Danio rerio: one gene and its partner. The protein of the gene in region 2 interacts with the protein of the main gene of each other region in a biochemical or structural test. Links are inferred from orthologs where the notes say so. Each region holds a gene or a part of one and is shown on either strand. Other genes may lie near its edges.

Region 1 (3,830 bases), on a different chromosome or scaffold from region 2:
GGGGTGGGTCTTTCGAACCATATGAACCCCCCCGCTCATTTATTGTGAAGTGTTTCCCATTTATTTGATATTATTAGAAGCATGTTCTGAGAGATGTTCTGATTGGTGCAGATCTCGGTGGAGGAGCAGGGGCGGAGCCTGGTCATTAAGATTGACAGGGAGGCGGTGATGAAGATCGCAGTAAACGGAGACCTGTTCACTCTGAATAAAAACATGCACGAGCTGAACCTGACGGTGGGGGGAGTTCCCTTCAGAGACGATGGGCTGGTCAGCAGAGTGAGTTTAACACACACACACACACACACACACACAATGAACAAATCACAAATTCATTCATTCTCCTTTGGCTTAGTCCCTTATTCATCAGGGCTCGCCACAGCAGAATGAACCACCAACTATTCCAGCACATATTTCACACAGCGGATGCCATTTCAGCTGCAACCCAGCACTGGAAAACACCCATACACTCTCATTCACACATACACACACACTTATAGGCCAATGTAGTTCATCAATAGTGCATGTGTTTGGACTGTGGGGGAAACCGGAGCACCCGGAGGAAACCCACACCAACACGGGGAGAGCATGCAAACTCCACACAGAAACACCAACCGAGGCTTGAACCAGCCACCTTTTTACTGTGAGGTCACAGTGCTAACCACTGAGCCACTGTGATGCCCCATTTCTGATGTCATGTGTGCTTTGATTGAGCTGAGTTACTGTAGTGGGTCTGTGTGATTATTATCTGTGTGTGTGTTCCAGGTTAACCCACGGCTGGACGGCTGTATGAAGGACTGGCGCTGGTTAACCGGTGAGGACACGTCCATTCAGGAAACCATCCGGCACAATGAACGCATGCAGTGTTACGCCGTCGAGGACCACAGCGCCTTCTACCCCGGACACGGGTTTGCATACTTCAACCACAGCCATGGTGAGTGCTGGAGGTGCACACTGCAAATAATGCTCTCTTACTCAGAGTCTTGGATCTGTTTCTAATCCAAATATCTCCAAATTCTGAAATCAAGAAGCATTTTCTAGACAAGCAAAACAAAAAGTCTTGTTTTCAGAAATATTGAGTTAAGATGAAGTGAGTTTTTCCTTCAAACAAGCTAAATAATCTGCCAATGAGGGAAGAGAAATAACCTCGTTTTTCCTTTGCCATTGTAATGAGTCGGGATGACGGAGGTGAAGATCCACGTGCAGCTTTATATTTATATCTAGTTTGTATAAAGTGTTTTATTTTAGAATTGATTTTAAATGTATTTTTCTGTTTGATGTTAGGGGTGTGCAAGTGCATTCTGAAATATAATTTAATTTAATATTCATTCATATGCATGTGTTATTAACTGTTTTTGTAGCACATTTCATTCATTCATTCATTCATTTTCTTTTTGGCTTAGTTCCTTTATTAAGACTTACGGAATGAACCGCCAACTATTCCAGCATATGTTTTACGCAGCAGATGCCCTTCCATCTGCAACCCAGTACTGGGAAACACCCATACACTTGCACACACTCACATACACTACGGCCAATTTAATTAATCAGTTCCCCTATAGCGCATGAGTTTGGACTGTGGGGGAAACCAGAGCACCCGGAGGAAACCCACACCAACACGGGGAGAACATGCAAACTCCACACAGAAACACCAACTGACCCAGCCGAGACTCGAAGCAGAGACCTTCTTGCTGTGAGGCGATTGTGCTACCCACTGTGCCACCGTGCTGCCTGTAGCAGATCTGTCTATCAATAACTTGTTTATCATTTTAATGATGTATTTTATTGTCCTCACAGGAGACAATCAGACGCTCAGTGTTCATGTGACTCTGCGTGCCGCATCCTCCATGGGGGTTCTGTTCGCTCTGGTTCGTCAGGACAGAGTCCCGTTCTCCATCTCTCTCTCCGACTATCATCCAGGGACCCTCCAGTGGACCAAGGTGTGTGTGTGCATGAGTGTGTATGTGATTGCGTGTGTGTGTGTGTGTTAGTGATGGGAGCTTTGAAACGATTTAATTAGTTGCTTCGCAAAGTGATTCAGTTTTGAGCATTCGAAATAGCAAATGCATGGCGACATCTGCTGGTCAAAACCATGTAAATGCAACAAAAACACACATTACATCAATTAGAATTGACTTTTTCAAATTTTATTTATTTATTTATTTTATTTAAATATTGTACATATTAAAGGCGACCTATTATGCAAAAATCCCTTTAAACCCCAGTGAAGTGTCTGCAGCAGTGTGAATATCTCCAGCAGCCTCCAATGGTCAACAGTAATGAAGTGTATTTGTTCTAATCAGATGAAAACAGTCTGCAGAAACACTGTGATTGACATTCTCCCTTTGTACGTGTCATCAAAGGGGATAAGCCCCGCCCACTAGTGTCCATCTCTCCATCTCATTAGCATGTCCAGCAGCCCTGAGTGAGAAGCAGTCGTCTGTCCATTCGCCATTAGAGTGTTTGAGCTGCTGAAGATGATGTCAGCATAGACTAAGAGGAGATTTGTAGCTCCGTCCTCTCAGAGCACAATCTCATTTGCATTTAAAGCAACAGTCACCAAAACGCCACAATTAGGATCAAAGCCTGAAGGGGTCATTTTCAGAGAGCTGGAGAACATTATCTGTGTGCTCAAACTTCACTAACTTCAACATCACAATCTACATACTCTAGAGACGTCAGAGATGCATTTTACATCTTGTAAAAGGGGCAGAATATGTCGTCTTTAAATTCAAAGTAACCTATAGATGCACTTAACTTATCATCTAATACCATCATTAAATATTAACACACATTAAATGTGTTCTTTATCAATTTTCAAGGCTTATATATGGTTTGTTTTATGGTGGGCTATTCTAAACAAGACAAGAGACTAATAAATGATGTTCCTTTTCATAATACATTAAAACATCTACAAACTCATAAATGGAAATGAGGTCAGGGAAAAACTATTAAACATGCTAAACTATCAGCCTTAAAGACTATTAAAGATGCCACAGGGGTGCGATCTGAGTGAAGCCGCATGATTATTGTGGATTTTATAGGATTACACTGATCGCCCCCTAGTGGAGAATCATCACATTTTCTGAATATTTCAAAACACTTCTGATATAACAAAGCCATTTTTACTGAAGTTATGTCCACTTGATGTGTGCTCTGGAACCACTGATTTGAACAAAAGAAATGTTAAAGGTTTGGAAGTTTGATGAAGCTGCCTTCACTAGTGTGTATCTGTGTGTTTGAGATGCTGCAGTGAGGTGTGTTCTGCTGGTCTGAAACTCTTCTGTTGATCTGTAACCCTCAGCATGTACTGGTGTCGTTGGGTGATGTGGTTGTGGGCAGTGTCCCAGTAAACCTCAGCGATGGACAAACACACACTGTGAATGTGACAATGTCCGGCAATGACTCCGTGCTGGAGGTGGATGCTCAGCTCGCTCAGATGGAGATGATGGAGGGTGTTGACTCTCTGGATCTCACATCCTCATACAGCACCTTCATAGGGGGCATCCCAGGTAATGTCTCACATTGGTCTGGTATGGTCTCACATCCACCTCGCAATAGTGTCATAACAATCCCACATATTATTATGTTTCTGAAAGTTTGACATTTGTCTCAAATAAGTCTCAAATTAGTCTCATATGGTCTCAAATCAGCCTCGCAATGGTGTCATAACAATCCCACATATTATTATGTTTCCGAAAGTTTGACATTTGTCTCAAATAAGTCTCAAATTAGTCTCATATGGTCTCAAATCAGCCTCGCAATGGTGTCATAACAATCCCACATATTATTACATTCCCAAGAGTCTTTTGCCTCAAATAAGTCCTGTGTTA
Region 2 (3,830 bases):
AACTGAAAATGTCAAAAGGTGGCTCGGAAAAAGGTAGTCTATGGAATGCAGTGTTCATTTGTGCATCCTAAAACTCGACACTTAAAATGCCTCTAGTCGCTGACATTATCTTTAGCAGATAGAGCAACATACCCCTATATATATTCCTTTAAAGCACCAAATATGTCCCAGGAGCTATGTTTTTTGGCAGTTTTTGTTTTCGTCAATCCACCAGAGGCCGCTGTGTATGCTTTTACAGATCTCAAATTTCTCTCACCAGTGCCATTTGCGGCTGCTGTTCTCACGTAAATCCACCAGAGGCCGCTGTGGACTGACTCACTGACTTAATGAATGACTGACTGACTGACAGATCGACTTACCCTCCTCCTTCCCTAAACCCAACCAATAGTGTTTTCAAAAGCACCAATTGACTTGCCCACCCACTTCTCAAAACCCAACTGACAGTGTTTTAAAAAGCAAAGCAATCCAAAAAAAAGAAAAGCCCTCGCTTTATTTTTATCACGTTTTCAGATTTTACCACATTTTCACCCTGTTGTTTATTTGTTATTTTATTTTTTAGCTTTTGATTTTGTCCTAACCGCTAAGACCATTTTTCACCGGACTCGAACCCTATTGTAGTGGTTAACTCATATCAGCATCTAAAGTCCACCAACGTACAGAGCTAGCTAACTGGACAAACCAGTAGCAGTGGGAAAGCCATCCATATGGAGGTAAATTCACGCTAAAGTTAAGTCAAGTCATCTTTAATTCTATATCACTTTTACAATGTAAATTGTGTCAAAGCAGCTATACATGAATGTAGAAAAAAGGATTAAAAAGTCATTACAATTATTTGGATAGTTTTACCCTGTCAGATAGGAAGCAGAGTGGTGGTAGAATGCTGTTGTAGTTCAATAAAAAAAACTGATTCACCAACATCCTGAACAACATTTAAAGCATCCTACCTGTGAAAGGTTTCCCAGTGATATGGATCCAGTGTGATGTACATCTGATCAGTGCTGAAGAGCTTCTCTCCATCCTTCATCCAGATAATCTCTGGTTCACTCAAACCCTCAAAGGCACAGCCCAGCCGGACCATGTTACCCTGAGTCACCGTTTGGTTGGAAGGGTTTTTGGTGAAGCGTACCCCTGGAAGATAAAAAAATTGACATCCTTCTAATGCAAGAGAACACAAATATTATAAAAGACAAATCAACTTTACATAATGAGATCAATTTACATGGGCAATGACATGGCAGCAACTAGATATGCATTCAAGTATGTAGACGTCAACAAGACAATCTGCTGAAGTTCAAAACAAGCATCAGGACGTGGAAAAATTTAAGACTTAAAGGCATAGTTCACCCAAAAATGAAAATGTGCTCACTATTTACCCTCCCTCAAGTGGTTCCAAAACTTTGACATCCATAGTAGGAAAAACAAATACTATGAAAGTCAATTGTTACAACTTTCAGCTTTCTTCAAAGTGTCTTCTTTTGTGTTCAACAGAAGAAGGAAAGAAAAAAAATGGATCAAGTGAAGGGAGAGTAAATGATCAAAACTTTTCATTTTGGTTGAACTGTCCATTTTAATGACTACGAAAGTGGCATGGATGTTGGTGCAAGGTGATCTTGTATGAGTACTTCTGAAACTGCTGATCTACTGGGGTTTTCACCCATAACCACCTCTAGCTTTACAAAGAAAAGTCTTGATGTCACAGATCAGAGACGAAAGGCCAGGGGCCTTGTGTACAAAGACTTGCGTTGAATTAATACTAAAACATTGCGTACGGACAAAGCTGTAAATGTGCATACGCAGTAAAAAAGTCAGATGTATGAACTTAAACACTGTGCGTGAAATCCGACGCATATTCTGTTTGTACATCCGAATTAACGTGAAACTGAGTGCAAGTGCATGAGCGCAAGACCCCTCCCTGCCTCCTCCCCCCTACAAATATGGTAATGACTCTACTTTGGCAAAACCAAACAAAAAAAGCAATGGCGAAAGCAAGCATGAAGAGAAACTTCACAGAATGTGAATTGAAGGTGCTCCTATCGGAGGTAGACCAGAGAAAAACGTTGTTATTTGCAAGTTTGTCCTCCGGAATTAATAACAGAGTGGGAGAGTTTAGCTGACGCGGTTAACGCAGTGGGGTCTGAACATCGTCCTGTGAACGAATTAAAAAAGAAATGGTCCAATGTAAAGGTGCAGGTTAAGAGGAGAACAGCAGCGCACCGTCAAAGTGTGGACCGAACTGGCAGGGGAACAGGGGATGCTGAACTAACACCCTTTGAGAAAAGAGTTGCCTCAATTGTGGGTGACACTTTACTGTCTGGAATAGTATCCGTGTCTGTGGGAGACACAGATGTATTAGAGGAACACTTTGTTAGGACGGTACAGCAGCACCCTACTGCTCTTATCCAGGCAGAGCCACCGGCATTTCAGCTGCCCAATCGCCCGCTCTACAACTGACTATAACTGACTATACAACTGTGTGAGTAGGGGCATTATTGTTTCTGCACTCTTGGTCAGTTTGTGGGTTGTTAAGTGGGGTTAACAGCCATGTCTTTAAAAAATAACTGCAGTCTCCTGATATGCAATTTAATAATTACGCTCAATAAAATAAAATATAATAAACTTAGCTGGAATAATATCTTTAAATACATCACTCACCAAGAAGCCACCCATCACGCACCCTGCCACCTTAGTGCCTCATCCCAACCATGCTGTTTGTAAGGATAAATGAATCATGGGTTGACCCAGGCCACCTTGCCACAATATTTGTTAAGCGCATCGGAGCATCACATATTATTTGCACATTTATTGAATGGAATTGTTTCCGATTCACGTATGCAAATTCGTCTTCAGATGGCACCTTTATGGCAATGTGCATGTAGTCGATCGCTCCGATTACATTGGGAAAACCGGCGATCGCTGCAAATTGCACTTTAATATTTGACTGGTCAACTGCATAGTATGGAAACCTCATATACCTGCTAGACATGATGATCCTGTTCCAAACAGCTGGCATTGCACGGCTCAAAGACGACTGGCTTAACTCTGAGTAGTCTGCCAGTTCCCTTTAAAAAGAACCAGTTGCCAGGATACTTTGTTGGTGCGGTACTTTGTAGTGTGCACTTTAACATAATTGCCTCTAGGAGTTGCCAATGAAAAAAAAAAACAAACAAACACAAGAAACACACGTACGCCAGACATGAAGTTGGCGCAGAATAACGCACACTCACGTTAATTTTATCGTTAGTAAATTCAAATGTGAGCGTAAAATCTGGCGTTCGCAAAGTTTTAATATATGAGGCCCCAGATGATTTGAAGAAACATCAGTAACTGTAACTCAGTTACAAACAGGTTCTGTAGAGAGCATTTCTGAACACAAAATGCATCAATACTTTAAGCTATCTATCTATCTATCTATCTATCTATCTATCTATCTATCTATCTATCTATCTATCTATCTATCTATCTATCTATCTATCTATCTATCTATCATCCATTAAGACCATGCATCAAATGTTTTATGAAATATTCACACACTACACAGGCTCACTCAGAAAATGTGCCCAGGACTACTTTTCTGTGAACAGAAAAATATGTGCCATGGGGTGCATAATGGTTGCATTCTGTGTGTAAAACACACACTATGAGGCTTTTCTGACATGATTGGTTTGCTCAGTAGCTCACTGTGTACGGTGCCAGATGAGGGAGGCAGAGCGGAGTGGCCCATGATTCTAGACTGATGATGGTTCCAGAAACCAGGTAAGACAAAACCCAAAAAAGAGCAGTGAGATACCATTGTAAAAGCATGCAGACATGGATTCATGTCAAGTGAGGTG

Evidence for each region.
Region 1: the proteins of tyro3 (region 2) and gas6 form a complex in vitro, tested with the Homo sapiens proteins (2 studies listed by BioGRID). The link is inferred for Danio rerio from reciprocal best matches to the Homo sapiens genes TYRO3 and GAS6.

What each region holds. Positions count from the first base shown.
Region 1 is NC_133176.1:590,325-594,154, reverse strand, and holds part of gas6 (growth arrest-specific protein 6), read left to right. Parts: intron 1-111; coding exon 112-276; intron 277-762; coding exon 763-931; intron 932-1,794; coding exon 1,795-1,937; intron 1,938-3,301; coding exon 3,302-3,509; intron 3,510-3,830. UniProt on the Homo sapiens protein: Ligand for tyrosine-protein kinase receptors AXL, TYRO3 and MER whose signaling is implicated in cell growth and survival, cell adhesion and cell migration.
Region 2 is NC_133192.1:11,697,306-11,701,135, reverse strand, and holds part of tyro3 (tyrosine-protein kinase receptor TYRO3 precursor), read right to left. Parts: intron 1,129-3,830; coding exon 945-1,128; intron 1-944. UniProt on the Homo sapiens protein: Receptor tyrosine kinase that transduces signals from the extracellular matrix into the cytoplasm by binding to several ligands including TULP1 or GAS6. Regulates many physiological processes including cell survival, migration and differentiation.